Linked DNA regions of Rhinolophus ferrumequinum. The protein of the gene in region 2 purifies or fractionates together with the protein of the main gene of each other region. This does not show direct contact. Links are inferred from orthologs where the notes say so. Each region holds a gene or a part of one and is shown on either strand. Other genes may lie near its edges. The genes, in order: SRSF5, SF3B1, CCDC97 and SNRPA1.

The links.
Region 1: the proteins of SF3B1 (region 2) and SRSF5 purify together in Homo sapiens (co-immunoprecipitation; 3 studies listed by BioGRID and IntAct, with this or other methods). This does not show direct contact. The link is inferred for Rhinolophus ferrumequinum from reciprocal best matches to the Homo sapiens genes SF3B1 and SRSF5.
Region 3: the proteins of SF3B1 (region 2) and CCDC97 purify together in Homo sapiens (co-immunoprecipitation; 4 studies listed by BioGRID and IntAct, counting the BioPlex papers as one, with this or other methods). This does not show direct contact. The link is inferred for Rhinolophus ferrumequinum from reciprocal best matches to the Homo sapiens genes SF3B1 and CCDC97.
Region 4: the proteins of SF3B1 (region 2) and SNRPA1 purify together in Homo sapiens (affinity purification with mass spectrometry; 8 studies listed by BioGRID and IntAct, counting the BioPlex papers as one, with this or other methods). This does not show direct contact. The link is inferred for Rhinolophus ferrumequinum from reciprocal best matches to the Homo sapiens genes SF3B1 and SNRPA1.

What each region holds. Positions count from the first base shown.
Region 1 is NC_046289.1:27,440,819-27,448,866, forward strand, and holds the start of SRSF5 (serine/arginine-rich splicing factor 5), read right to left. Parts: upstream 3,285-8,048; 5' UTR 3,130-3,284; exon of another isoform or gene 3,005-3,129; intron 2,705-3,004; exon of another isoform or gene 2,335-2,704; intron 2,236-2,334; 5' UTR 2,217-2,235; coding exon 2,091-2,216; intron 1,774-2,090; coding exon 1,703-1,773; intron 1,579-1,702; coding exon 1,480-1,578; intron 1,196-1,479; coding exon 1,126-1,195; intron 1-1,125. UniProt on the Homo sapiens protein: Plays a role in constitutive splicing and can modulate the selection of alternative splice sites.
Region 2 is NC_046291.1:33,139,715-33,147,907, reverse strand, and holds the start of SF3B1 (splicing factor 3B subunit 1), read right to left. Parts: upstream 3,246-8,193; 5' UTR 3,096-3,245; intron 1-3,095. Other genes in the region: COQ10B (coenzyme Q-binding protein COQ10 homolog B, mitochondrial), read left to right, coding at 3,516-3,694, 6,721-6,870. UniProt on the Homo sapiens protein: Component of the 17S U2 SnRNP complex of the spliceosome, a large ribonucleoprotein complex that removes introns from transcribed pre-mRNAs.
Region 3 is NC_046298.1:39,625,437-39,633,190, reverse strand, and holds the start of CCDC97 (coiled-coil domain-containing protein 97), read right to left. Parts: upstream 3,198-7,754; 5' UTR 2,105-3,197; coding exon 2,059-2,104; intron 130-2,058; exon of another isoform or gene 1-129. Other genes in the region: HNRNPUL1 (heterogeneous nuclear ribonucleoprotein U-like protein 1), read right to left, coding at 6,025-6,141, 6,719-6,910. UniProt on the Homo sapiens protein: May play a role pre-mRNA splicing through the association with the splicing factor SF3B complex which is involved in branch-site recognition.
Region 4 is NC_046311.1:12,858,083-12,865,342, reverse strand, and holds the start of SNRPA1 (U2 small nuclear ribonucleoprotein A'), read left to right. Parts: upstream 1-4,252; 5' UTR 4,253-4,349; coding exon 4,350-4,431; intron 4,432-7,260. UniProt on the Homo sapiens protein: Involved in pre-mRNA splicing as component of the spliceosome. Associated with sn-RNP U2, where it contributes to the binding of stem loop IV of U2 snRNA.

The DNA.
Region 1 (8,048 bases), on a different chromosome or scaffold from region 2:
AAGAGAAGATGTTAGATAAAGTACAAACATGGCATTTACCACACTTGTATTCTATCAGAATTCAAAAATTATGTCAGGGCACGAAGTAAGCAAATAGCAAATTGCTTTTAAGCAAAATGCTTCAAGAAAATTCAGATTTTAACATTAAATAGTATTAGTCTATACTGAGCTCAATACAGAAGGAAAACAAAAAACAAAAAAAACAAACAAAACAAAAAGAAACAATACAACTTTTAAAGACTAAAGTAGAAATTTTATATTTAAAAACAGAACATTTACAAGACACCAGTTATTTTGTGCCCCATATGTCATTAAAAAAGTTTACTTTACCTTTATTATTATTTCCCTAGGCTAGTCAAGCAGCAAACCGTTAATCGGTCGAAGAAACCTTCATGACATATGCCCGACTGGCTCTTCGCCACCCACTTGAAGGACACTACCCAATCGATGGAAGCCTTTAATCGCACAGCCCTCCCTATTAGCAGACTACTGGCGGATGCAGACATGTTCTACTCTTGTGCAGTTACCAAGGACCACTTTACTGCGATCAGGATTCCAACGACCACCTAATTTCGTATCTTTCAACTCTTTTCGACCAGGACCTCTTATTCGGAAGCGTTACAGGAAGACAGCTCTCAACTTAAGGATCAGATCACGTTATCAGCGCTCTGGGATCGCTGCAACCTGGCACTTCAAGAAAGTGCCCCGATTACGTCTAGACCGGCAAACACAGATCTAGAGGTGGCCAATTGATCACTGTAGGAGCTGACTGGCAAAGTCAACCAGGCCCAACCAAGAGTGACCAAGACAACGATTAGGATAACCCACAGGCACTCCTCGTCATAAGGCCAACGACACAGATAGGCTGGCAAATAAAGGGTTTAATATTTGGTTAAAATTGATTTTAAAAACAAGTAAAATATCCTCAAAACATTTACATTTGATCACTAATATTAAAGTTTGAAATATCCCCCAGTTACATTTAATTAAAAATTTAAAATTACAGTTAAGTCCATTAATTTAATTAAAAATAATACTTTTAATAAAATATTAATAAAAAATTAGCTACCCATTAGTTTTTTAAAAAACCACAATAAAATATCTCAAAACTGAATTACAACAAACCTGCCAGCTGACTCTTGAAGATAAATTCTCAACTATAAGCCGATTTTCTGTCCTAACCGGTGGAGCATTTCTGAGGAAGGAAACGAGAATTCAACAATGGAAGAAATGCAGTAACGTATTGTTTATTTTGTTCAATTTTGACCAAGTTTAAGCAGTCAGATATGACAAGTCATTCAAATGTTCATCGACAGTTTCTGACTTTATGACTCATTACACAGACTTATCAGAAATACTAGACTGACATAGGAATAACAGAACTGACTATATGGTAAATATCAGAATCACTTATTGCTAATGGTTCTTAATCACTAAATACCCCTGCAGTAACGATTGCTCCAAGAAGCCATCACATACCGTCTATCATTTCGAGGTCTGCGACTACTGAAACGGTCAGAATAGCGTCCTCTACCTCTTCCCCCTCGGGATCGAGCCCGAGCATGTTCAATAGTAACCCTAGAGAAGGAAACAAAAACCTTTATCATTCACCTAAGCAATGAGACCTAGAAAAATACCCAAAATCTAGAATGCTCTACATTACAATGCTAAATAGTCATAAACATAAAAATAAGGTTCTCACCTTTCACTACAAAGTTCTTTTCCATCAAGTTCATATACAGCATCGTCAGCATCCCTGGGATCCTCAAATTCCTAAAATATTAGCATGAAAAAATATAAAGCTTTACACAGTTTTCAAAGTATATTCTACAACATATTAAGAGCACCAAAAACATGTAACAGAATGGGACGAGTATGTTAATGACAGTGCCATATAGATAGTGAGTCTAATTGAAAAGTGATCAGGACTGGTTTCCTTCTAGCCAGCAAATTCTTTTGTTCACTGTCTTAAGGATACATAACATTTTCCAGACACACTACCTGTTCTCAATAAGATCGAAAACGTTACTTATCAAAATCTTTACGAACTGAACAATAGATAGCTCAAGAAGTTCTAACTAAATACTTACCACAAAACCAAAGCCTCTTTTGAGATCGATATCTCTTATTCGTCCATACCCCTTGAAGAATCTTTCCACGTCTTTCTCCCTGGCCGCTGGATTTAGCCTCCCGATGAATACTCGACAACCACTCATAACGCCCGGCTAGCAGTTCCTGTTAGAAAATAATTCAATTGAGACACCACCAGTGAATGTCAAATGAATGCCTAATCGAGGGATCAAAAACATAAACAGCATAAAATAAAATGTTTACCGGGTGATGTTATAAACAAGATTGCCAAGAGTGCCTCTTATTAGGCCAGGTCCCTTGCAGACAAAATTAAAACTCGGCTCCCAACACGATCCTTCCCTGGGCCCAGAACACAGCAACCGCAACGCCCACTGCCGCCTCTGGAACTGCGCAGCCTCACACTCTCCCCGGCTCTTCTGGCCCCCTCCCATCTGCCGCAGTTAGGAAAGGCCGAGAAGTGCGGGCGGAGCCGGCCCCGCCCTCCGCAAGGCCAGCCCAATGACGACGGGCCGAGCGCGCGTCGCCGCCTCCCAGGAGCGTCACAGCGGGTAGAAGACGGAATCTCGCAATGCCACGGCCGCGCCTGCGCAGATGGCGGCGGGAGGACGCTAGGCTGCCACAAAATGGCGGCGGGGTAGCCGGCGGGGGGGGGGGAAGAGCCGCGCGTGCCAAACTCCCTTCTCTCCCCCTCCCCCGACTCCACTATTCCGGAGTCACCGTACCCGCCCGCAGAAAACCCGAACCACACCCCGAGCAAAGCTCTCGGCTCACTACTCGAGGGGTTCGACTAGTGAATCAGAGGCAGGGAGGGGCGCACAACCCCTCCATGTAAAAACGACCGTAACCACGACCGCCCTTCCACCTTCACTTCCCCTCAAACAATACCCAAAGGGAGACGTGCCCCAGCGCCCACCTCGAATAAACTGCGCTCATTGGACGCCGTCCTCCGCAAAGAGAGCAGCCCTGGCCACTCGCGATCTGAGTAGCCATGAAGAAGCCTCGATCCGAGAAGCCATTCCCTCAAAGTGAGCCACTCACCTACCGGACAGGATCTTTGGCAGCTGAGACCCAAGAGAGAGGTCCGTAGTCTGCGACGGAGCCGTCTACCTCCCCGCAGACCAGGACTCAACTCGTCTACGTATCTCCACAACTGACGCACTTAGCTGCTCTGGCGTTCCACAAAATGGAAGGCGCGCCTTTACGTCACATCCGGGGCCGCCCATGGGACCGCCCCCTTAGGTCCAGGGACGGAAGTTTCGGTGGGACCGGGGCCTTTTTACCGTGACCGCCTGACCGACCTTCGCCCGCGGTGGGAGGGACCAAGGGGCGAGAACTGGCGTAGTTTCGGCCGTCAGGTTCCCGGCGCTGGAGGGGCAGCCATTGAAGATGTTCGCTTTCCTCAGGCTGTCAAGTTCTGTTCTTCGTTATCTCTAGTATGAAAATATTCTAAGATAAATCACGTCTCTCTTTTATCTGATTTTTTTTTCATGGTGACCTGAAGAGTACTGGGTAAGAGAAACTCAGGCTTTGCGAAAAGTATCTGGCCATCCCTGCCCTCTTCCTGCTGCTTGCAATTTGAGGTTGCACGTTGGAGGACGCTCCTTGATGAGCAATGAATCTTTTAACCGTACCATGGACGTGTTAAACCACACTAGTTATAGTAAGAAGACTAAGGAACTGCACTTTTTCTTAAAATGGAAGGTTTTTTACGTGATGAAATACTGAAATTGGGACTGCAGTTAGAAGGCCATCTTGAATTGAGTCCAGAATGCCGATTTCTCCATTTGCACTACACCAGGACTGTGCTGGCTATAAGAGGTTTCAAGCTCTTCCGAATCCAAACACATTTGGTCAACCCTCCCCGTTCAGGTTTCTGTAACGGAACACAAGATAGGCTACATTCTTCAGAAACAATGTTGTGCTTTCAAAGTTTCAAGTTTATTGGCCAATGGGTGTGAAATGTAGCCCTCCGCATCCTTAACTCCACTTTCCCAGTAAGGTTGTCAGGCTTAGAAATTTGGGCATGAAGATGGTGAGAGGCTTACGTTTCTTTAATACGTTTAAGTGGAACGCAAATCATCCCATTTTTGAGAGCTGCCCAGAATCTAGGGTTGCTGTTTGTAACTAGAGTTACACAGAGATAAAAGTAGTTCAAGGAGAGGAGCTCCCTGTCCTTACTCTGACCTCCACTGACCACCGGGGCATTTAGGAACTCTGCATTAGAACTTGGATAGTTCATATAGCATGAGCTAGTCCATTCATGAATTTTTATGTTTATTTTAAAAAGAGCCTCAGCAGGTACACAGCAAAATAGTGACGTTATCTATTGTGTGGGGGAATTTAAAAGGAAATATTTAAGTTAAAGAACATCTTTAGCTGATAGCCTGATCAACATTGGCATTTGATAATGCACAAATTGTACCAAGCCAGTACTTAATTTGTTTGCTTTCTACATAATTTTCAAAAAATCAGTCTTCCCATTCATTATTTTATACATTTTGTGTTGTTGACCGAAACAACAGCTTGTGATTTCACTCACTAAACATTTTTGCCGCAGTAAGAGATCTGGAAAAGGTTTTCTGGGGGGGGGAAAAACAGGAACAATGGTGCTGTACACCGGGTAAAAAGTTGGTGCCTTCAGCGCGTGCTGTTGTGATTTTCTTTGGGACTAATTTTTTTATAAAGCCTTTTCTCTTGATTACTGTTACAAAGTCTGTCATTTCCACAAAGGTGATTTTTCATCAGTATTCCCTAGTGACTTGATCTACTGTAATTTAAACCACTTGTCTTCTGCAATGCTTGTTTTTTCCATGACAACTACATAGTAAGTCCCTACCAGATTGTTTCTTAACAATTTCTCCAATAAATACAACCTCATCTTCCATGCGCAGAATTACTCTCCCTCCTGTGTGATCCTACAGTATTCTGTGTATACCCCTATAATTCCTTCATCACTGACTTATAATAAGATATATGTTATTCATGTTTTTGTTTTCCAGAAATGCCTAACACAGAAAAGACTCAATATTTGTAGACCTGGATTTGCATTAGCATTTTTTTTCAGGTCATCTTCTATAAGAATGTTTCAACAAAATGGCTTGGCATCCTTTTCCTAAGACATCCAAATGAGGGGCAAATTTTTAGTAAAGGAAAAAGTGCAAAGAAATCACAGATTAATATAAAGACAAAGTTTATTGGCCAACTCTGTCGGGGACTTTGAGCATAACTGTGGGATGTGTCATTCATCCCATTCCTGCTTTTATCTAACTCAGGTCAGCAAATTACAACCTGTGGGCCTAATCCAGCCTGCCACCTGATTTTTGTACAGCCTGAGGGTGGTTTTACATTTTTAAATGGTGTGGGCTGGAGGAAATCATAAGAATGGCTATTTCATGACACATGAAAAGTATATGAAATTCAAAGATCATTATCCATAAATAAAGTTGTTTTTGGAACATAGCTACTCCGTTTTATTTAATTATTGTCTACATCTGCTGTCCTGCGACAGGGCTGAGTAGTTGCAGTAGAGACACACAAAACCTCAAATATTTACTATCTGGCCTTTTACAGAAAATGTTTGCCAAGTTTTACCTGAGCTAACTGATTCCTAGACTTTAAAATGTTCTGTGAATGTTCCACCCAACTCCCTTTGTCAGATAATAACCAGGAGACAGGATGTGGTCTTTCTTTCTAAATAGAGTTTATTTTATTACAGTTATAAAAAAGAAATATAGCAAAAAAGTTCAACAGGAAAAATAATTGAAAAAAGAGAACACTCATGATCCCATCTCCCCAAATCTATCTCTGATTATAACTTGCTCTTTTCCTTCTTATGGTTTTTGTCCTGAGTGTTTAACATATGTTTTCTTTTCCAATTCAAAAATAATACATCATCATTTTTAAAAACATAGATATGAGAATATATTAATAAAAGGCCATCCTTATTCCCAACCCTGAGGGATAACTATTTGGCTTTCTTTATAATTACCCTTTAGTGTTTTTCTATAAGCACAATTTTCAAGATTTTATTTTCAAAATATGAATCATTCTCACATATAGAATTTGGTATCGTGATTTTTTCTATTCATAAAACTTATTCATGGGCATTTTCCAGCTTTCTTTGTTTTAATATACTTATGATCAAAAGTGCATATTCAGATTTGTATCTCTTTTTCTACTCAACATGACACAACTACATGCCTGGGGAAAATATTCATTCTGAACGGCAGCTACTCTGTTTCTCTGTAAATGTCCTAAATCTCACCAGATGCTTAAAAATTCCTATCCCAAACTCCCAGCACTAAGGAAAAAGTGTTGCTTCCTTGATTCTAGCTAATAATTCTAAAGATCTTTCGAAGGAGTAAGTATCCTTAATCTCTCTTGGAAATGTGTGTTTTTTCAACTGTTCCGTTTTGGCTCAGATTCACCCCTATATACCTATTTGACTTCTTTCTATTACTACATCCTGATTTTATATTGTTTAATTTAGTGCACAATAATTAAAATACCAATGAAACCACTATTGTACTTTCACTTGAGAGCCTAGTTCAGTGTTTCTCATCACCAACTGTACACTAAAATCATTTGGGAAGTGTTTATAACACTCCTGGGTTCCGACTGGCAGAAATTCTAAATTAATTGGTCTGGGGTAGAACCCTCATTTGTCAGTAAGGGCTGCAGGCAATGCTAATACTTAGCCAGTATTGGAGTTGCTGACTCAGGTCTAGAAACTCACTTTTTTCTCCATAAAACCCATCTGTCATCTGGCTCCATCTTCCCTCCTCCAAGTACTCATGCCTCATTCAGGTTATGGCTGGAGCCCTACTGGGACAGTCACAGGGAAGCAGATTCATGACACAAATCATTCTAACATCAAGATAATTAAATTCAGGGTACCTAAGCATATCATCCTAATTATCCCTCTTAATATCGACAGCTGCTATTTCCAGACACATAATCTCAGTCCTCACACCAACTCTTCCATGTAGGTGTTATAACATTTTTTTAAATGAAGAAACTGAGGCTTAGAGAGTCTAAGAATTTATTTTGCCCAGAGCATCCCACTTTCTGATTTTCCTGCCAAGGCCCTATTCACAAAAGCTTACGGCATGACTTCATGTAATACCTTTCTGTGCATTAAGGTGGCCCCAGAAATCCCAGAAACAGGAAGCACTACTACTGAATTGCAGAGTCCTGACCACCAAGGCCAGAGAAGTTTGGAGTGAGGTAGAAATTAGAATAGGCAGAGAGCATCTCTGCATAGGGAATGAACTGAGAGAGAGAAAGGATGCTGAAAATATTTTCTTAGATGTGGATAGAAAGCAATTCCCACTAATTCAGAATTTGTTGATGAAACTTAGAAATTATTTATAGATCCATAACGTAGTGCTGATTTGATGTCAGTTTGTGCTATGAAATAACTCCCAATTTAAATTCTAGCCTTAGCTGCTGTTTCTGTCCCACTTTTACCTCTATTCTAAGTTATCCTTTAACTCAAGGATTCTGTAAAAGAATCATTTGTGCTCTATTCCAAATGCAGATTCCCAGTGATGTTTCCCAAGGGAGCCTGATTCAGGAATCTCAGGCTCAGGAGTCTGAATATTTAACTGGCACATTAATCAGGTGAGTCCCAACTATAGTTTGCAACCAGACTTGCACTATTTGGTTCACTCCTTTCTTTCTCATTATCTCAGCAGCCGTTCCATGCTTTTTCTCCTCTTCTCCAGTGACCATTTCTCCTTCATTGTTAGCAGTTCTTATATATTACTGTGTGACAAATTATCCCAAAATTTAGCAGCTTAAAACCACAAACATTTACTGTCTCATAGTTTCTGTGAGTTAGGATATTCAGGAGTGGATTGACTGGATGGTTTGGAATCTCTCATACAGCTACAAACTGTTGGCTGGGGCTGCAGTCTCATCTAAAGTCTCAACTGGGGGTATCTCCTTCCAAGCTT
Region 2 (8,193 bases):
CCTCTCAGTGTAATAAATCACAGCTGTGAGTAAAGCTAACTATATGGTGAGTCCTGTGAGTCCTCGTAGCAAATCACTGAACCCACCAGTGGTCTTGGGAACATGGGGTAGTATGGTACCTATTTCTTGCAGTTACTATTACTTTCTTATCCCCTTTTTGTCACCATAGTTCTCCAATCCCTGTTTAACAACGTCCTTACATTAAATTTTCTATTTAAAATAACTGGTATAATTTTCCTGATTGGTCCCTGACTTACAAAGTCAGTCAGTAAGGGCAAACTGTCTAGTTAATCCTCTTTGATCGTCTGATTTTTATCAGAAACTAACATCTGTAATAGTATTAATCTCTTGTAACTCAGTTGCTGATTTAGTCAAGGAAGGTTTTCTTTCAACCTAACATTTCACAAAGATAATGCCTGTATGAAATCATTGAGCATGCTAGGAAGATTATTCTATTGATCAAAAAGGTGACAGTAATGAGTTTATGTGAATTTAAAAACTTGCTTTATTTCAGAAAAATATATGTGATATTTAAGTAAAGGTCTTGTTCTGTGGTTAAAATTCATCCTATATTTGTTTTGACTGGAGCGTTGATTAAAAACAGTATTAACACAAAATCATAGCCATCACTATTTACCTGAAGCCTTTCTGGTTCTGTTCAATTTAAATTCGGGGTCAATGTATGATTCTAAGTGGAAGTCAATCAGGAGGATTTCATTTGGGAAGATCACATGAAAGGCCATCTATTTATATTTTTATTACAGAAGATTTTAAACATCCACAAAAATTATATATAATACTATTATAAACTCTCCATATACCCATCATCGAGTTCAATAATTATCAACTAATGATCAATTAATTTTGTTCCATCCACTTTACTCCTCCACCCCACAAGATTACTTTAAAGCAAATCAAAGACATATTTCACCTGTAAAATCTTCAGTATGAATGTCTACTGTGTAGAGAGATACATTTCAGTCGAATTTCCCAGTTTTGTATGCCTTTTTCTGTTTAGTTTGTTCAAAACAAAATCTATTAAATAATGCCTCTTAAATATTTTAAATCTTCAATAGTAGATGTAAAATCTACTCCCCTTCTTCCTTCTTTACTTGACATTTATTTGCTGAAGAAATTGGATCATTTGTCTTACAGAATTTCTCACATTCTCTATTTGGCAGATTGTATCTCTTTGGTGCCTTTAACATGTTCTTTTATTCCCTGTGTAAACTAGCATATCTAAAAGCTTGGCCAGATTCAGCTTCAATTATTTTTCCCAGAATATTTAATATGTCGTGTCGTGTCAAATGTATTTTTAAGAGCATAGTTAGTTTGGACTCTAAGATATCGCTTCCCATAGGTCTGTGCTGAGTTTCATTTACTACCAATCATTTCACATTGTATAGACAAACCTTTGAACCCCCAATTTGTGTAAGCACTGTCATCCACTGAAACTGGACCAGAGTTTATTATATTATTACTTTTAAGCTTATGACATACATGTATTACTCTGCTGAGAAGTCAAATGTGTGTCATACACTGTCATCTATTACAAAGATTCCTTTATTTGCCTTTAAGTTTTTTTTTTAATTGGGAAACTATTCAATTGGGTGGCCCAATTCAGTAGGTATTTTCATGTCTGGGAAGAACTGAATGAGAAAATGTTTGGCGAAATTAATAAAAGAAGGCCTTAAAAGAAGTGCATAAGTAATTATACTAAAAAATATGTTTAGCAGGCCTTCTAGTTAACATCACCCATGGTTTGAAATAGAACTTAGCAGAAGGTGGTAGTGTAATGCCTATATTTTGTAGGCACTGGCAACCACTGTAGTTTTTTAGTAGGGGAATTATATGATGAAAATTTGTTTTTAAAGGAAGACATTACTGAAAACATTCAAGATTTAAGTCAAGAAGAGCAGGGATTGTGAATTTGAAGGTAATCTGATATAGAATTTTTTGGATGCAGCTTCAAAACCACCTGAATCGACAAACACATCCTATGTTGCATTGAAAAGTGTTTGACAAACTTTGTAGCTGGGAATTTCAACTCACTTCACAAAGCATCAAGTAAGGGATGACTGCAATGAACAAAGCAAGAGTAGAAAATAACAATCATACATATACATAGCAGCTGAAATATGTCTGTAAATGTAACTCAGATCAAGTCACTATTCTGCCCTCAACCTCAAATGACTTCCCTTCACACTTGGAATAAAATCCAAAGTTGGTACCATTAACCTCCCAGGCACTCTGACAAAGCCCTCACTACCTCTGATCTCATTTGCTACCACTCTCCTCCTCACTCACTGTAACCCAAAGCCTCTGCTCTTCATAAAACAGGGCAAAGTTGTTGCACTTGCTGTTCTCTCTACCTGAAGTAACTCCCCCCACCCAATATTCACGTAATTCACTTCCTCACATCATTTAGGTCTTTGTTCAATATCACCTCCTCAGCGGCCTCCCTGACCACCCTACATAAAGCAGTGCCTCACCTTACCCCTCTTCATCGCCTTACCTTGCTTTACTTTTTTCTACATCATATGATCTGATATTGTGTAGTATACTAATTGGTTTTCCCCCTGGAATATAAGCTCTATGATGGTAAAGACGTTTGTTCACTTATCCAGCACCTAACACGGCAGAGTAAGGGCCACAAAATATTTGTTGGCTACATTTAATCAAGTATTTCATTTACTCCTCAAAACTGCAATAGATAGTACTGCTATTCTCAGTTTACAGGAAACTGTGTGCACAACGGTTAAATAAGGACCTGGGAACAAAAGGGTTGGGGAAAAAAAAAACACGTCAGGACTTGATGACTGACGGATTCCTGATATGGGTGAATCAAAGCAAAGCTGTCTGGTTTTAATGGAATGAGGGAAACCCAAACCATACACGAACACCAATTCAAATGCTGGCCTCGCAGGAAGAAGCAGATAGAACTGAGTATCTTCCCTAAGAACGTGACCTTATGTTGCCCTTACAACCACCCCACGGGGTTGCGCCGCAGGTACTGTATTAGACAATCATTACCAGCAAGACTGACCGCCACACTTCGCAGCCAGGAGCGAGGGCGGGTCCGGCTCAGCACTCACCGGTTTGGACAGTTACATAATTAACACTGAGAATGTCCGGCTTCCTCCGCCCCGGGGCTGGGCTCACGTGCTGGGCCTCGCGACCAAGAGCAGCGCCCAAAAGAATCCCCGCGGTTGGCAAATCCCGGGAAGAGTTCCAGCGCAGGGGGTGGGGTGAACCGTCACCGCGAGTCTTACGTAAAGCGTCGGAGCGGGCGGCGAGAACAAGAGGCCGGCCGGGGAGGGGGTGTGTCCAAGAGGCCTGTTGCTCCCTCTAATTGGCGGGCAGAATGACCCGCGCGTTTACACTCGGCCCTACGGCGGTGGGAGCGTGCGTCAGCTTTGCGCAATCGGGGTGAGAGGAGGAGCGTGTCCGGTGGCTCATGGGGCTTGCGGATTGGCTGAAAGGCGCCGGAGCCAGGCGACCTGGCCCAGCCGGAGATGGGCGGTGCTGTGGGCTTGGTCCTGGAGTTGGTGACCGGCTTCAGTGAGACGATCATGGCAGCTCGGACTGGTCAGAGGGCCCTGAGAAAGGTGGTCTCGGTCTCGGGTTGTCGTCCAAAGTCGACGACAGCAGCTGGAGCCCCCAATCCGGCGCAGGTGCCTGCGCGGAACGTCAGGTAATAATCAACTCGGGCGCCGAGACGTGGGTAGTTTTCCACCCAGGCCTGTTGAGTGGGAGTACGAGGGGGGATTGTATATTAGATGAGGCGGAGCCAGATCCGGAGCGTTTCCGCGTCTCTGGAGGGAACTCCTGAGTTCAACATTTAAGGGACTCAGGCGCCGCGCTCATCACCCCGGGCCGGACGCTCGCCGGCCTTTCCCGGCCGCCCCGTCTGTGTTTGTGGCTCACTGCCCTCGCGAGAGACGGTGAATCATCGGCGTAGCGACGTTGAAACAGCTAATAAAGCAATTCGCCGACCTGTGCCTTTAGGCTCTTCCGGTCCCTTCCCCTATGGCCTGCTGCTTCTGTTGTCAGAAAGTTTTATATTTGCCTGTGAGGGTTGCGGGCTGCTGGGCGTCTTGGAGTTTGTGGCCTGGTGTGAACCCCCTTCTGTTCCTGCTGAGTGCCAGATGGCCAGACGAGCTTTCCCAGTTTCTGGTAGAGGTCTTTGCCCCTGCCCTTTGATTCTTGCAAAACTAAACGTAGGAGACGTGGGGGACTTGGAATTTTTTTTCCACTCCACTGTAACTTACAGGTCCTGTAACCTTGAACCAGAGTCTGCCTCGATTTTTGTTGTTGTTGTTGAGTGGGTGTGTAAATGCATGTGGAAAGGTGAAGAATTCTGTATTTCCACCACTTAGTTTCCTTTTAATAATAACATTGTAATAAGTTATGCTGAAAAATTAAAGTTAGTGTTTAAAATGAAATGAATTGTAGACAGTACGAGATGAAGGGAGAAAACACGAATCTGGTTGAGCTCCAGGACATTTAGATTCCATGAAGAATTTTTAAAATGCCTACAACCCAGCCAACTCATCATTTTAGACAAATACTGGTTAAAACTGGAATAAAATCATTTCAGGTCGTTTACTCCTGTTTTAGGACATAGCCTGAAAAAGTAATTCCAAGCAGAGCATAGCAAACGTTATCGTGCTGTTCAGATCTGCTTGTTTTTTGTTTCTCCCCTTCCTAGGCTTCCCCCACCCCTCCAGTTCAAGCCCTGTTTCTCTGTCTAGTGTAGGACACAGCTCCCTAGCCCATGCTGGTATTATGAGCCTTGCACGCAGTGGGTCGCCGACTGGATGTCCATGGCAGCTTGTGGCAGCTCTCACTGGCTGCCGTCTGCTCACGATAGCTGCCGGCCACTCACGATGGCCACCGGCCGCTCCTGGCAGCACACGCTGCTTATGGCCTCCCAACTCCAGGGAGAGCTGTTGTTCACAATCTTAGCTGTAGAGGGTGCAGCTCACTGGCCTGCGTGGGAATGAAGCCAGCCACCTCAGTGTTGGGAGCACAGCGCTCCAACCACCTGAGCCACCAGGCCCGCCCCTAGCTTAACCATTTTCATTGCTCTCTATTTCATTGCCTCTGGAATAAGCCCATCCAGTTTTTATAAATAGCTTTAAGTGTTTAAAAGTTCTTTTGTGTTACGGACCCCAAACTTGTCTCCCTCTACTTGGGCTTTTGTTTTACCTTTTGGAGCCGTATTTTCAGGTATCAACCCTTACTTTCCAGCTGAATATTTCCAGTTTCTTCGACCATTCTTTGTTTAACTTGATTTTCTGTTCTTCCCCACTCAAACTGTAGGGTGTCTATGTCCTTAAAGAAATTTTATTTATATGTAAATCATACTTTATATGGATAAAATTTTATATTTGATAACATAAAGAGATTTCACCAGGCCACCCCATTTCCCTTTAAAAAATAATTTGAAGATTTAATTTAATGAAATCTCTCTTACTTGAAACTCTTCAACAGCTTCTCACTGAGAATAAATTCCAAATTGCTTTATCCTGGGCAGTAATCCCCAGCATGATCCAGCTGCAACCTGTCTAACATTATTTCAGACACTCCCCGCCTGCTGTACTGCTGATACACTGTTAGTCTTTTGTAGTCTGGACTCCCTGCTGCCTGGAATGCCCCCTATCTCCCTCTCCTCCATATATAACTCTATATGTTACACACGTGTATGTGTTTACATATAGGCACACCCATTTATTATATACATATATACCTATGTCTCTCTTTGCATGGCTATCTCCTTACCACTATGTGTCAGCTGAAATACAACCTCAGCTGACTTCCTAGACCCCGATCTAAAGGAAGTCCTAATTGCATGTTCCCATCTTCTTTCTCTTTTAAGCACTTTTTTTTTGGAATCTTCAGCTAGAATGTAATCTTCATAAGACTCATGTTTGTTTTATTCACCATTATATCTATATAGTCACCATTATATCCATTATATGTCTAGCACAGAATAGAAGCTCAATAAGTATGTGAACTAATTCATGAATAGTAGTGTAAAATAGTTATGCAATAATCTCATTAGGGAAAGACTACAAATATTTAGGTGAACAAGGGTATATCGGGGAATCTGGATTCAGAAGTACCTCAAACAATTAAGATTATAATTACCTTGGCATATGTTTTTACATATATGCACAAAGTGGAGATCAGAAAATAAAAGGAGAGCAGAGTGACAGTTCTGACAGGGTCATCAGATCTCCAATCTGAGAATGAGACCTAATTTCAAATCTAATAGAGTAAATCAAGAATTAAGGAACCCCTATGGATCCAGCTGGGGAAAAAACCTGGGTAGATGAGTTGAAAAATACATAATGAATATTCTAGCAAGTGTATAGAAGAATACGTTGTGACACATGACTATAGACCAAAAGCCAACTTTTTGGGATAGATCCCTTTTGTGCCAGAAGCTTCTAACCCTAGCTATAAGCTGTTATTTTCAGTTTTCTTTACAGTGCTCAAAGAAGCTTGTTTTTTTTTTGTATGTGTGTGAGTGTGTGTGTGTGTGTGTGTGTGTGTGTGTATGTGTGTGTTTCAGGAATATTGTAAAGTTGCAAAGCCTTCTGAAGTGTGATAGGTATTTTACAATCTCTAATAATTTGTGTTTACAATTTCTGTAATTTGTTTTCCTCTTAATTTTCGATGTCTCTCTAAATCAAGTAATTTTTGTCTTTTTAGATATTTAGCTTCCTGTGGTATACTGATGAGCAGAACGCTTCCGCCAAATACTTCAGTGTTGCCTAAGGAGATATATGCAAGAACTTTCTTCAAAGTAGCTGCACCATTAATAAATAAAAGAAAAGAATATTCAGAGAGGAGAATTATAGGGTTTGTATATATTAGTTCTACTAAAAGAGCATGTTCACAATTTTCTATAGAGTATCATAACTTTTTTTTTTTTCTGGATTCTCTTCTTATAGACTAAGCTCTGTTTCTAGGTTGGCCTTTCCATAGCCCTTGCTGTTTTATAAATATTTGTTGAATGAATATAATTATATGGTAACTTTATAGGATAGATTTAAACCTTGACATGTAAAGAATGGACCTGTTTATGACCTGCATTGTTGTACACTGTTCTTTTCTATAGTGGCAACATTACTGATACATTGGCCCAGATATATTTATATATCTCCCTCACATACGCATATACATAGATGTACATACAGGCATACTAAGAGGCTCCTACCATCTAGAACGAAGGTTGGCAAACTTTTTCTGTAAAGGGTCAGATAGGAAATCTGTTAGGTTTTTGTGGACCATACTATCTATCTCTGTTGGAGCTACTCAACTTTGTCATTGTAGTCCAAATATTTTCCCTCATATATGACATAAACACATAATAATAGCTACCATTTATGAAACATTGTACACTGCCAAAATTGTTTCATTTAACCCTGAAAAGAATGCTTAGGGGTATTTTTCAATGATGAATGAAGAGAGTGAAGTGGAGAAGTTAAGCAACCTGCCTAGGGTCACATGGCTTACTATGTTTTAGAGGAGATATTTGAACACATTCTTTTCTGACTACAAAGTCCATCCCCTTGACTTCTATGTTGTACTACTTTCTTAACCTTTGTAGACTACAAAGGTTAAGAAATTAGCTTCCAGGATACAAGGTTTCAAACTTTTTCATGGGACTTATTTCAGTATTTATTTCAAAGTGTCTGAAAACCTGGGGAAGGTAGGTTTTTCTCCCACTCCCTCTGTTGTGGGCCTCATTTCATGATCATAAAGATTAATTTAAATTAATATGTAAAGACTTATTCTGGCATATTCAAGAAATACCTTTTTGTAATTTTGATTGTTATTATTTAAATTGCTTTATAATTTTGAGATGAATTATGTTTTAATTATGTTGATTCTTTATAACCAAGAATAATACATATCTAGATCTGATTTTTCAGGTTGTTTTTTACATGATTCCATGATGCAGAGTGGTATTGTTTGTTTGTTTATGATTTAAGCCCTAAAGTTTTTTTTGTTGAATTTATTTCTAGATATTTTGCATTTCTATGGTACTGTTGTTTTCTGTTTCTTGTTAGTATAGGAAAAGTATTAATTTTTATATATTTCATAACAGGCTACCTTCCTGAAATCTGAATTGATTCTCTCCTGAACTGATAGTCATATCACCTCCCAAATGATAAATTT
Region 3 (7,754 bases), on a different chromosome or scaffold from region 2:
GGTGAGAGGTGCCTCTCAAAAGTGGTGGGAACTAGAGCCAAGCTGCAGCAAACAAGACAGAAAGTACAGACAACTCCTTTAGGTAGCTTGGCTGGGATGGGGAAGAGCAAGGGGGTGATGGTTACAGGTGCATGGCTTTCAGGGGGGCGGTTTCATCGCTGGCAAGAGAAGACTGAGATGGGCAGTCGCTGTGGAGGGGATAAAAGAGGTGGTGGTTAGAAAGACGCTCAGGAGGCCATGTAGACAGGCCACAGGGCTGAAGGGCTGGGAGGTGAGGAGGACAGGGCAGCCAATTAAGATCCTGGGCTCTGACCAGGGGACTGGTCAAACTGAGGCAGAGACATGGATGAGGAGCAGGTTTGGGGGAAGATGCTGAGGTCAGTTCGGAGCATGGAAGGTATGTGCCCAGGGGACACCCAAGGGAGGCACCTAAGAGACCACTGGTACATGGGACTAGAGACTTCTCAGGAAAGAAGTGCAAGGCTGGGGACAGAGTTGTGGGGGTCATCAGAGCCAAGACAACAACTAGAGTTGAAGGACATGAGAGGTTATAGGGAGGGCAGGGGTGTGTGTGTGCAGAGAAGAGGGATGAGAAGAGAAGAGGGGCTAGGAAAGAGCCCTAACTGGAAGGGGAGAAGATATGCCTGTGAAAGGGTAAAAAAAGGCCCCTTAAAAGATAGCCACGCCTTATGTCCTGGAACCTACGAGTCTCATCTTATATAGCCAACAACAACAAAAGAGTCTTTGTAAATGTGATTAAGTTCAGGATCTTGAGACAGGGAGATTATCTTGCATTATCCGGGTGGGTCCTAAATACCATCACACTGTCCTATAAAAGAGAGCCCAAGATTTGACACACACAGAAGAGATGACAAGCAGAGATCGGAGTGATGTGGCCACGATCCGGGGAATGCCAGGAGCCTCCGGAGGTGGAAGAGGCAAGGACTGGGTTTTTCCCTAGAGCCTCTGAGGAGAGTCCTCCACAGTCCTGCTGACACCTAGGTTTCAGCCTTCTGGCCTCAAGAACGTGAGAGAATAAATTTCTGTTGTTTTAAGCCACCCAGTTTGTGGTAATTTGCTACAGCAGCCCTCGGAAATGAACAGAGAGGATAAGCAGGAGGAGCCTGAGACTAAGGAAATCAGAAAGGGGTGTTACCGAAACCAAGGGAAAACCTTCAAGGACGGAGGGCTCCATACCATTCAATGGGTGACTCAGTTTAACTACACCGGGAGGTCATTTCTAGGAGACCCTAATCAGAGCAGTTTCTGAAGGTAAAAGTCAGACTACAATGGGTGGGAGGTGAGAAAATGGAGACATGTATGAATGACTCTTTGGAGAAAACAGACGGTTTCTGGAAGGCAGCACGGGATCAAGGAATACATTTTTTTTTAGGTTAAAATATTTTTATTATGGAAAACTTCAAACATGCACAAAAGTAGAGAGTACAATCCCCCCTCCCCAATATATCCATCCAGCTTCAACAATGACCAGTTCTCCCAACCACACACCTCACCCTACATGAGATTACTCTGAAGCAGTGGGAGGGAATTTTAGGATGAGCAAAACAAAAGCATTTAAGATACTGATGGGAAGGCATCAGTATGAATAGAGATTGAAAATGCAAAGGAAAGAAACGGGGGAGCACAGAAATGGATTAAGGACCCTGAGGAAGCAGATGGGACTGTGAATTTTGGGCGAAGGGGAGAGTCAGTTTGACAAAAAGGAGGTAGGTAACTTGAGAAGCGGAGTTGGCTGGGACAATGGGAGAGTTAGCCCAGGGTAGGGGCGAGGTTTATGTTAACCTTCTCAGGCTGGCCTGGTAAGGAACTGGGTTAGCCTGGGACACGGAAAAGGCTGGCCTGGAACTTGGAAGAGGTTAATTTAGGGGGAAGGGAGGGGGTGAAGGAGGTTAACCTGGACAAAGTGGTGATGGGGACAGGCAAGGCCGAGCACAGGTGTCCTCCTTTAAAGAGTTCTCCTCCGCGCTCCTGGGGAATCATTTCCCAGTGACACCGCAGTCCCACCCTCCCGCCACCTCCGCGTGGCCAGGACCTCACCTTCATTGGGCTCCCTCACAGCCGCCGCGGTCGCCACGGCCTCCATCCAGATTTCCTACCACTTGTTAACTGGCGCGGCAGGACCCGCACACTAAACCCGGCCACCGGCTTCTTAGCAGCCACTTCCGGCTGAGCACATTCTCGATGCTCCGCCCGGTGCTCCACCGCGCCCAGAACCGAAGTTCCGGGCCGAAGGCGGACCTCCCCATGCGCATGCGTGCCTCCTCGGGCCCCGCCCTCCGGAGCCAGGAAGGAAAAGGGGGCCAGGGTCAGAGAGGCCCTTCCGTCCCCCGCCCATCTGAACTGCTGCGAGTTGGGAATATCAGGAGGGATCTGAACCATTGTTCAACTTGTTCACTGCTGTGACTCCAGAGTCCAGCATGATTGATTTTAGGATGGATGGTTGAATGAGGCACCCTCCAGGGACTTAAAGGGTTTGTGCTCTAGTGTAGACCCCCGTCTATCCCCTTATTTCTTCACCCCTTCAAAGAATATTTGCTTAGCCTTGCCTCTTGCTTCTGTCATCACACCCAGTCCCTGGCTCATGAGATGGGTGGTGAGGACCTGGAGAATCTGCAGATGTGGAGGGAGAAAACCGTGGCCCTGCTTTGCCCCAAGGTGATGGGTAGGGACTAGGGTGTTACCAGGAGTAGACATGACGTCATCAGTGACCACCCCGAGTGCCCAGAGCTCTGATGGACCGAGGGGGCTAAAGGAACTGCCACTACAGCCCGGAGGGTCAGAGAAGGCTTCTTTTGGGAGGAGGGGATGCCCAATTCATCCTTAAGGATGAATTAGGATAAGGGTCGCGGGCACAGGGAGGTGTGAGGCGAAGACCCAGAGGGGAGGGCAGGCATGGATAGTTCTGGTTACTGCAAGGACTCAGTGTATGGTCAAGGAATAGAAAGAATTTTAACTTAAAGGTCATAATTGGGCTGTAGAGGATTTGAGAACCTCATAAATTTTGTGCAAACTCCATGTATATGTGGATTTGGTTCATGGCGTTTATAGAGTCTACAAGGGACTTAATGACTCCCCCAGAACAAACAACTGATCTTAAGTTCAAAGGAGGAGCAGCAGGGGCTGGCCAGGTGGCGCAGGCGGTTGGAGCTCCGTGCTCCTAACTCTGAAGGCTCCCGGTTTGATTCCCACATGGGCCAGTGGGCTCTCAACCACAAGGTTGCCGGTTTGACTCTTTTGAGTCCCGCAAGGGATGGTGGGCTGTGCCCCCTGCAACTAAGACTGAACACAGCACCTTGAGCTGAGCTGCCGCTGAGCTCCCAGATGGCCCAGTTGGTTGGAGCACATCCTCAACCACATGGTTGCCAGTTCAACTCCCGCAAGGGATGGTGGGCTGTGCCCCCTACAACTAGCAACTGGCAACTGGACCTGGAGCTGAGCTGTGCCCTCCGCAACTAAGACTGAAAGGACAACTTGAAGTTGAATGGCACCCTCCACAACTAAGATTGAAGGGACAACCTGACTTGGAAAAAAGTCCTGGAAGTACACACTGTTCCCCAATAAAGTCCTGTTCCCCTTGCCCAATATAATCTTTAAAAAAAAAAAAAAAGAGCAGCAAAAGATGAAGCTAGCTAGTTAAATCATCTGGGACCTGGCATTGGCTGCCCCCATAGGCGTGTGAAGTAGCCTGTGGGGATATGGCAGGTGGTATCAGGATAAGGGACTGGAGATAAGGGAGATCTGTGAGGAGGCTGATGCAGTAATCTAGCGTGGCCAAGAGCAGTTTGTATTCACAGGATAAGGGATCTGGAGGAAAGTGGCCCATTTGCTACTCAGGAAAGGTGGGGACTATACTTAAACGTATCACCAGGTGGCCAGCAGAGGGCGCTGTTACCCAACACACGGAACTGTCCGGAAGGGGACTACCCAGACTGGAGGCCTTCCCTGCCTACTCTCCTTGAAGAGGGAGTGGGGACTCTAGGGTCCCTTTTAGCCCAACTAGCCAAACTTGGCTCCCTCTCACGTTTAGATGTCCCACCCCTGAGCTCAAAATGAGTAGATCTTCCTCCTTTGTGTAGCCTGTGTCCCCTTCACAAGGTTCCAAGATACTTCCTGTGAGGGCAGGGGTGGGACTGAACTGGTTACTCCTGTGCCCCAGTATTGTCCCTCCAAGGGAAGGAAGAGAACAGGCTGTGGGGATGCAATCATAAAGTCCTTTACCCTGGGCTATTTTAAAAAATGTTCCCTTCTCTAGGAAGCCCTCACTTCACCATACGCCCCCCCCCCCCCAGGCTCTCACAGCTGACCACTTGGTGCTGTCCCCATTTGATGACAGGTCTGTGTTACCTTTGGACTCAGAGGCCTGTCAGGGCAGGGTCCAGGGCTGCCTTGGCAATGCCATGTCCCCAGTACTGTCCAGACTGAGGAACAGAGCAAGCACCTAACATACTGGCTAGATAGAGGTTCCTGGAATCTCCACTCGACTAGACCCAGTGCAGGCAGGAACCGTCCGAAGTCCAGCTCACAGGCCAAGCCGGAGGTAGAAGCCATACCCGGTGATAAGCCCCAACAGGCCAGCCCTGGTTTCCATCCCATCAACCCTGTCACCCTCCACATAGGGACCTGGTTCCATGCTGTCTACTCACAAATCCTCTATTCCTGTAGAGATTTGGGACTGGAAAGGCCAGGGACCAGAGAACCACTTTACAAATGAACTAGTGGGTTTTAAACTGAGGGCCCCAGGTTTAACGGGGGCATCCCCAGCACCAAAAACAGGGCCAGGCACACAAATCCCTCAAAAAGTGTTTAATGAATGAGTAAATAATGTCCCCTTGGAAAGGCCCCACCCCAATTAAAGGCCACTGCAGTAACACTTCAGGGTTTTAACCCCACTTCCTTCCTGCTAGGAGGTGCCATGCCATTTATTGAAAGAAAACAAAATAGAACAGGGCAAACACATTTCTTAATAAGTGCAGTTTGTTAAAATCCTGTTAAAACATATGGGTCAAGGGGAAGTTAAAAATAATCAGAGGATCACTGTAGGATAAACCTTTAAGTGTGGCACCTGGGAGACCTCTGGAGAGGAGGTAGTGGGAGTTCTGAAAGGAAGAAGCCCCCCACCTCCCCTTTTCCCCTCTTGCCCACTTAATCCCACCAGAAACTACCAAGACGCCCGGAATAAAAGGTTTCAAGTTCAATAGTCACACTCTCTCCAAATACAAAAAGCAGTTACAACTCAACACAGAAGCTTGTGTGCAAAGTTATGAGAAACTGAGACATCGTATAAAAAGTTAGGTTAAAGATGATTCTGTGGTTTTTTGTTTTGTTTTGAGGGTGTGGCTCTTCCGTGGTTGCCTGAATTCAGCAAGGAAATGGTTATCCCGATGAAATATCAACAGCTGACCCACAGTAAAAACGGACAAATTCTAAAAATTAAAAAAAAGCATAATTACAAAAAAAAAAATCTGTCACTGCTTCCTCCCTCCACATGTTGCTTTTTAAACTTTTTTTAAAAAAGTTTTTGATTTTTTTTTTTTTTAAATCCTGAAAAGTAGACAGTAAAACAGCTTCTGGAAGAATTTACAACCAACTGCATGAGGGTCTGGGAAGCCGAGGGTCCGGGAAGCCAAGGGGCTGGAGCAGGGTTGGGATGAGTGGATAGGAAGGGGTCCTGCCCTCAGCCTCACTGTGTGACCAAGGGAAAGGAGGGGTCTTTAGTCAAAAAGGAGGAAGGGAAGAGGAGGAGGAGGAGAAGGAAAAGAAGGCGGGGAAAGGAGGGGGAGGGAGGGGGAGGGAGGTGGGGGGAGAAACAGAAAATAAAAGTTTATTGTTGCCTGTTTGAATCCAGAGAAAAACGCCCAGCCCTGTGTGGGGGAAGAAGCCCCTCAGAGGGGAGGCAGCCCTGGGATGGCCCATTCCCCAGCACCACGGGACCCGGTGGGGGCAGATGAGGGGTCAGGGTGGACGCTGGTGGAGGAAGCGGCAGGGGCCTCCGGGGCACACTGGCTACTGAGTGCTCGTGCCCCCCTGCGTGTTCCCGGTGTAGCTCCCGTAGTCATAGTTCCCGTAGTATGGCGGCCACTGGCCCTGGTTCTGATAGTACTGGTTCCACTGCTGGGCATACTGGGGAGAAACCAAAAGCACCAAGTTGACCTTCATCTAAACCCTCATTTGGCTCCTCTCCTCACGCCCAGGGTAGAGATGGGTACAGTGATAAGTGCCGACATGGGTCCCCTGACAGAGGAATCAAAGCACCTAGGTTTGACAAATGACTGACCTAATGCCACATGGGTGGGCAGTTAGGGAATGCAGCCCAGGTCTCCTGGCTTGCTAACTTAATGTCCTTTCAGGTATAGCTAGATACCACGTTCAAAATACTTATCACAGATAGGGCCACCTAGCGCCAAGCTATCAGAACAGTCACTGGCCATGGTGCTGAAGCAGGATCTAGAGGCCACTGCTACAGCCTTTCCTTGCTGCACTGGGGAGAGGGGCTAGAACACTGGCTGTTGAGCAGCCAGTGCAGAAGTGTTCACCAAATGGAATGGCTCTAACAAATGAATGCCAGCCAGGGCCAGCAGGCTGCCTGTCTTCTCAGGGATAAGCAGGAACTCAATTCTGGGGATACACCTCCACGTGGGACCCCTGGAAGTCTCTCCATTCCATCGCCCCCAGCCCTCACACCCCTCCTGGCACTTACCTGCTGATACTGGTTATAGCTCGGCTGAGGGTAGGTCTGTGCGGTAGGGGGCGGTGGTGGGGTGTAGGGTGCTGGGGTGTAGCCGCCGTAGCTCCCATAGTTGTAGGCAGGTGGAGGTGGAGGTGGAGGTGGTGGGGCTGTATAGCCCTGGCTGTAACCTCCCTGGTTGTAGGGTGGCTGGCTGTAACTCGGCTGGAAAGTGGGGAGAAAAACCAGGGCTCTGTGAAATAGCCAGCTCAGCTGGGATGGAGGGCCTTCGTAAGCAGTGGGTCCACAAAAGAACTTCCCTGGTGGAGGCTGTCTGGGGGCTGAGGAGGGAGGTGGGTCAGCTCTGTGACATGGCAGGACAGGCTAGGATATAAGGCTGTGTTCTAAACTCTAATCCCAGCTCTGAGATCCTGGGGGAGCAAGGCACATAGCACTTCTTGAAATCCCAGGTTGGTTGGTTTTTGTTTCTTCTTCTGTAAAATGAGAATTACAACAAAACTACCCCTTCAATTGCCTTTATGTCCACAAACTATTGGGCACACAGTAAATGGTGGTAATTGTTACAGGAAGAACTGCTGAGAAAAACAGTAGTGGCAATTCCCTAAGTGCTTCCCATGTCCAGGCTGTATTATTAACTCATCTAATCCCCCCACCAGCTCTGTGAGGTAGGTTCCATTAGCCTCATTTTACAGATCAGGAAGATGAGGCTCAGGCAGGTGAAATCACTGGGCTCAAGTTACACAGCTAAAGTGGCAGAGCTGGGACTTGACCCCAGGTCTGCCTAGTTCCAGAGCCTTACGCATGAAGCTATAATGCCTTCCCCCAACCCTCACAACAAAGCTTGGATGTGAGTTCTAGTAACAATTCTAGTCCTTGTGAGGAAAACGAGGTCCAGAGAGGTGAGGCTCTGTCCAAGGTCACAAAACCAGGACGTTACAGGGCTGGGACTTGAATTTGTGCCTGCCCAACTCCTGTTCTAGGAAATTTTCTGGTTAGACCAGGATTGGAAACCATTCATCAGTCTCCTGGCAGCTGTTCCCAGACAAGG
Region 4 (7,260 bases), on a different chromosome or scaffold from region 2:
GAATCCACAACTCCGGAAAAAAAGAAATCCACAGAGCAGATACAGTGTTAACCTTAAATTAATAAAAGAGTTAACATCCCACAGCAAAGGAGCCTGTATTTCTTTCTAAGGCACGACAGTTAAACACAGGTGCTGACCAGTGGGGGAAATGGTGGTATTTGTGGTTTCCAGAACGGTTTGATGTCATTACGTGGAAGGTCTTTAGCTTCAGAGAATGTTGATGGGACCAAGTCATGGGAGAAATCCCAGAGTTCCAGCCCCAGGGTGTCCTTTGGCAAACAGCCCCTCTTCAGGCCACAGACGCCCGCTTGGGTGGAGAGGCTGGTTATAGGGATGCTTCCTTTCTGTCCCAGACTGCAAGCCCCTTCACCTATGGCTGCCAAGCCTGATTTAATTAGGTTACAGCTTCTTTCCGCACAGAAACTGAAACACTTGCACCATGGGTTCCATGCTGCATGCGATTTTGACCGTGTCCTCTCTGCAAGATCAGAAGCTTGTTTTGCTAGGAACCCTTCGGCTGCAAATAAAGGAAATTCACCAACTAGAATTGACTTAGGAAAATACAAAAGTGGGTGAGGGGCATTGTTTTAGGATCCCAGGGTTGACTCAGAATTTCAGGGAAGGGTGCTGCTGGGCCTTGGGAACCCTAAGACCAGCATTAAATGTCACCTGGACCCCTTTGCTTTGGAGCAGTGAATGGGACAAATGACAAGGCCACCACCATCTCCCAGGTGAGCTTTCTGAGTCTGCTTCTTGGCCCTGGTTGGTCTGCCTTCATCGGCGTTCACCGGTCCCATCAGCTGTGGCCACAGGGACAGGTTTGTGCAACAGAACGAAGCTCCAGGCAGTTCTTCCTGTGACCACCTAGCGGGAGGGGTGTAGCATGATGCTGTCAGAAAATGGGGGTAAGGCCCACAACCCAACACTACCCAGCACGAGCGTGAATTGACCAGACCTGTCCGTGTGAGGGGCCAGTGGGGAAATGAGTGGGTGTATTTGCGAGACAGCAGCCAGGGCTGGGCTGATGACTGATACGGATTCAACCTCCCCCAGGAGACTCACCTGAGGTTAAAACCAGCAGCTAAGTATCTCTGGTGGGGGAGGGGAGCCGTTGGAGCCCCTAGAGCTCTTTGCCCACTGAGCGCTTATGGTCTAACATGTTTAGAACTGAATCAGACATAAACTTTTATTCCCAAAGCATTCCCACTACAGGCAGCCAACCAGACAGCCTTGGAACACACATACCCTCATCGCAGTGGCTGGCCCAGCCTGTCCTGGGGCTGACGAGTGCCGTGGGCAGCTGGGAACCTGTTCACAAAGTTCTTAGGACCAAATGCCACCTTGTTTAAAAGGACCGACGACATAAAATGCCTTTTTTTGCAAATGGCCCAACCTTAACTTCATCTAGACTCAGTTGGCGCAGGACATGTTCATGGATTTTATTTTATGTGACAGAATCATGGCTCTTCCCCTGTAAATCTGTCATTTCACAGACGGAGGCTCACAGACGTAAAGTGACTTGCCTTGGGCCACACACTGGCAAGGTTGCTCCCATCCATGTGCCCAGGGAGGGAGGCTGGCTCTCTCCGCAAGAGGGGGCATCACTTGTGCAGCTGACCAAAGGCAGGCATGATGCATTTGTTTTAAACTAGCTTTATTTCCAGGGGGTGACATTTTCCTTACCCTGTCCGCCAAATTCTTTGGCACCTCAAAGTGGTCCCCGGGTGCATATCCCCATCCCTCCCAGGCCACGGCGGACTTTATACCTGGTAATTATGTAAAGAGCTGGGGAGAATTGCACCTTTTACAGAAGACACAGCTGTAATGGGAAGCGGGCTGGACAGAGGTTGAGAAAAACCAAAGGGCACCATGGTCAAAGTGAGGCCAACAGTGCAGTGCTCTTGAATATGGGGGGACGGTCACTCACTGCATTTAAATCACTGATAATATGGCCACAGGGAACTTAACCTGAATGCTTGGGGTATGCTGGGGCCCCTGGGAGCAGGTGAAGGGTGGAGGTTTGCGTCAGACGACGGAAAGGCAAGGAGATGGAGAAGTACAAAAGAACGGCATTTTAATAAGAACAAAAAGTAGTATACCAGCCATTCTGCAGCATCTTAAGGTTCTGCCCAGCCAGTTGGAAGCGACTGGGTGCTGGCTGCCATGGGAAAGGAGGAGACTGCATCCCGCTCCGGACTTCCCTGCTGCTTTTCTTCCTTGAACCCAGGCCTTATCCTTCCTGACACCTCAGGCTCTGTGGCTTGTCTGTGCACAGAACAGCACCCCGAGGTGATGCAATGCTGAGCACCCATCTCATGCCCTGGGGTTCAGTTCCCATCACCCGAAGCTGCCCCCCACCCCAATATGTACCAGCTACACTAAGGGTGATCGATACCTACTAGGCTCCTTGTTGAGCAAATAGGAGTCCAAGTGCCCAGAGCAGAAAACATCTCGTTGCCAAAAACAGTGGTTCTCAACCGGGGGTGATTTTTGTGTCCCTGGGGACATCTGGCAATGTCTGGAGGTATTTGGGGGTCACAACTGGAGAAAAATACTGACATTTAGTGGGCTGAGGCCTGGGATGCTTCTAAACATGATGGAATGCCCAGGACAGCCCCACAACAAAGAATAATCCAGCCTAAAAATGTCACCTGTGCTGAGGTTGAGACTCTCTAGCCAAAAGAAATGAAATCAAAACAGAAAATCTGTTCTCAACTTCATAGAGATAACCTAAGGTTAATATAACTGCCTCTAGTTTATCTCCCTGTCCATATGCCGAAGCAACAAAAACCCATACAAATTTCCTATTTTAAAGTAAAGAAAGAAACTCTTTTCAATCCAGCAAGCCAAGGGCCAAAACCAACTCTTTGGTCTAAGGACTCCCCCTGGTGGTCCTCTGTGGGATTAAGTGAAGTTGGGATTGTAGCGTTTTTTATTTTGAAACAATCTCAATGCAAAATTACAGAAAAGTTGCAAGTACAGTACAAAGAAATGTTTTCCTGAACAATTTGAAAGTAAATTACCGATATGATACCCTATTACCCATCCACCCCCAAATATTTTAGAGGCTATTTCCTATAAACAAGGACCTTCTCTTATATAATCATCAGAAAATCAGGAAATTCACATGGATATATTACTACCTACCGTCTAGTCCTCTGACTGCATTCCAGTTTTGCCACTTGTCCCAGGAATGCCCTTAGCAAAAGGATCCAGTTTAGATCACATTTTGCATGTAATCCTCCTGTCTCTCAAGTCTTCTTCAACCTAGAACATTTCTTCAGTCTTTCCCTGACTTTCATGACCTTGAACCTTTTAAGGACTACAGGCCAGTTATTTATATGCTGACCCTCCGTGTCTTTGTCTGAGGTTTCCTCATATTTCAATTCTGGTCAGATGTCTTTAACCGTAATCTCCCAGAAGTAATGTGTTCTTCTCGTTGCATCCTAGTAGGTGATACAGGATTTTGATTGGTTTCATGATTGGTGATAGTGACTTTGATCAATGATTAAGTTTTTCCCCCCTTGGCTATGAAGTGATGCCTGCTAAAAGGATGTCCCCTACCACCACTGTCCAACCTTGTACTTAAGATGCCAGACAATGCCACAGGGCAAAAAATAAAGAACTAGTACACAAAATGGAAAGGAAGACATAAAACTATCATTCTCAGACGGGACGCTTTCAAAGTAGTGTTCCGTGTCTGCACCAGGGCCGACAGTTTTCGCTGGCGTGCTCACTCTGCGATCATTCGTCACGTTGCACACTTCTGATGTGCCCACCTTTATGTATTATCATGCATTAAAATAAACATTTAATTGTCTGGAGGCCTAACCACAAAGTCGACCGTGCCCAGGTGCCAGGTGCTGGGAGGTCGGGCGGTCCCAGCGGCCTGGCCGGGAGCAGGTGATCCAGCCCCGGGGTTCAGGTTGTAGCCCGGGGGCCAGAGCCCAGGACCCAGACGGGAATCCAAAGTCCTGGACCCTGCATGAATCCCACGGGTGCCCGCCACCTTCACCTCCAGGTGCACTGATGCCTGAAAAAGTTCCACTCGGGTATCGTCACATGTTGCTTAACTTGCGGACACAAATGTCTGGAATCAGGGGTCCTCCAGACTCCAGAGACGCCCTAGGAAAGCAAGCAGGACTAGACGCGTCCTCAGCGCGCTCCAGGGCCTCAAAGGAGAAGGAGATCGGGGACGCGGCTCTTCGATTGCTTCGGCCTGGACGTCGAGCTGCGCGCGCACGCGGCGGTGCGACTGGTGCTGCCTGGCGGCGGGCGCGGGGCAGGCCGGGACCTGTGTGTGGCGGGAGGCAGCCGCGGGCCGCGCACCGGGAGCGGGAGGCGGCAGTATGGTGAAGCTGACGGCGGAGCTGATCGAGCAGGCGGCGCAGTACACCAACGCCGTGCGGGACCGCGAGCTTGACCTTCGGGGTGAGTCCGCGGAGAGGGCGGGCCGTCGCCGGGCCGCGCCTCCGGGCCGCGCCGCGTGTGCCGAGCGCTGGAGCTGGGGCCGCGCGTGCCTGCAGCTCGGGCCCCAAGGGGGCGGCTGCGCCGGGACCGCCGCGGCCTGAGTCCTGCCGGCGTCACCGAATGACCGTCCCTTGGGCTCTGCCTAGGCTTCTGTTCCGTCCTCGCTCCAGGGCCGACGCGGTGGCTTCCTGGTCCGTGTCCGCGGGCCTCCGTGAGGCCTCCTCGGGCTCCTCCTCCGTCCGCTGTGTTTGAGGGCCGGGGAAATGCACTGAGTGCTTGGTTCTCAGTCCGTACTGGTCATCGTGCGAGTGTCGGTAGGACGCGTGTGAATTGTCTCCAGTCGGTGAGGGAGGAAACGAAGTCCGGGAACAAAAGCGATTGCTGCCCAAACGTTTCCGCCTTACGAGCTCCAGTTGTCTGCGATTTCCCTTTTACCGGCAGGTTTTATGGAGTGAACTGTTTCCCCGAGGCTTGCTCGACCGGGTGTCGTGTGTAAGTGGTGCAAGCTCTCGGAACTAATCGGGTTCCCGGAGCTATTGCAACCTTAGGGAGGCCGGGCAGGACACTGAGTACAGCTGTTTAATCAGCGTGTCAGAAGATGATTCCAGGAAGGACAGTCCTGACGAGCGGGGGAAAGAAGGGAGAGGACACACGCTCGAGTGGGCCCGATGACCTGATTTAGTAATACCTAATCAATGTATTTAGTAATAGGCAATAGCAAAAGGCAAGTAATAGAACGTGCTAGTGACAGAAGTAAAGGTGGTTAAGACTAAACTATATACATTGATAACAAGGTCACGTCAAAGGAGTACACGTACTTAAAAGTTTAAGAGATCCCAGCACATGTTTACTATTGATCAAAAATCACTTGGCTAAATGCACAAATAACGTCAGTAAGGAGAATCCAAAAGCAGTAATAAGCCCTCTAGGATAGTAACTGTGATAGTAGATGCCAAAAGCTCACCAAACCGTAGGAAAAGTCATAAGTCAAAACTTCATCGGGTCTGCAGCTGAGAGAAACTCAGGCGTCTCCCGCCCCGCCGCTTGCTAGTTCCCAAGAATTTTGCTGCCGTTTTTTCGTTGCTGGAACTTAGGGCGTCCCTTGACATTACAAGCTGCAAGCTGTATACACGTTTCTAAACTGTTCACAAGTTCTCCGGAATGCTGTTGCTGTTGTGGTGGCTGTTGCTGGAAGTTAGGGCGTCTTCTGATGTTGTAAGCTGCAAGCTGCATACAAGCTTCTAAAATGTTAACAGTTCTCAAGAAGGCGAACGGTGGGGAACAACACCGGAGAGGCCGGGAACCAGGCAGCCCTCACCAGGTCCACGGCTGGAAGTCAGGACAGCCCCTGGTGCTGTAAGCTGTGTTGCTGGAAGTCTTCAAAATGTCAGAATGATGAAGAGTCACCAATGACAAATGATGAAATTTTAATTACGATTACACTGCCAGCTGAGGTCTGTCTTAAATATTTTCTCAGATGTGCCTTAGAGCCAAGTTTCTTGTTCCTGCCGCCCCCTCCGGGAATGGCCGGTTCCGGGAGGGTCCGGCAGTTACTGATACGAATGCTGCCCATCTGGCCGAAGGGCCAGTTCATCTGGATAAGCAACAAGACCTGGCAACGTGCCTGTCACGTCGTCCTGATATAACTTAGCTACTTCTTCACTTCTGCTGATACAGGCGAAACAGAACAAAGGGAATTCTCTCAACCCCTGATCAAGAATTCTTTTAACTCTAAGCTAACCATCACCTCACAGCACGACAGAAAAGCAACCTCATCTCATGTCTCCGCTGCTCGGGAGAATGAGACCAAAGGGGGAAGTGACTCAACCCTGATCACAGCACAGAAATCAGGAACATACTGGAACAGGTAAAAGCTAATACACAAAAGCTCACATCAAACAATGAAGGCAAACTTTCTTCACTTCTTCACGTCTTCCCTGATAAAAAGAAACAAGAAAGTCACATCCGCCGATGAAGGCAAATTTTCTTCAACATCTTCCTTACAAGGACCCGAAGAGCAGCTTCTGCAGGGATGAGATTGTACAATCTTGGCCTGAGATTTGCTCCCACGGGGACTGTAGAGTCTGGGAAGCTGCCGTGCTGCACGCTCTGCCCAGTGCTTTTATTTTGATGCACTTAAGTTTCTCAGAGGAAGATTCAACTGGAGAGTAACTGACCACTTTGACCTTCCCGGCTCAGGTTGACCTCTGTGGTCTTCAAGTGTGAAGCATGTGGGGTGTGGAGGATAATTGGGGCAGCACTTAACTTGGATGTAGCCCTTGCAGCTCTGAACGGTGGCCTTCCTTTAACCTTGGCTGGGTTCATTTCTTCGCTTCTAGCATCTAGCACAATAATTAAGCGCATGTTAGACAAGTCAGTGAGAATTCGCTTGAATTGTTCGTAGCGTGATTTCCCATTGGGTATAAGTCATTGACCTTCAACCCTGGATTGGAGACGGGGGAGGGGAAGTAAGGGGAAACTGTCATGGTGTCGTGAGGCTATCCTGATGGGTTGTATGAAGCTGACCTGTGGGAAGGCAAAAGAGAACTGTTGTCCCCGGTGTATGAAAAAGGTTTGGACACTGGCCATAAGCAGCTCACTGTAAATTCCTGTTACGCCACTTAACTAGCTCTGGGGCCTTGCTTAGAACAGTATGAGGCACCTTGCAAATACCCTTCCAAGTGTTAGCTACCACTTAATGTCACTAAGTATCCTCGTCGTCATCGGCCTTGACATCAGCACCTTCACGACCACTGCTACACGGTAAGCTTCATGGCAGCCGGGACTTGT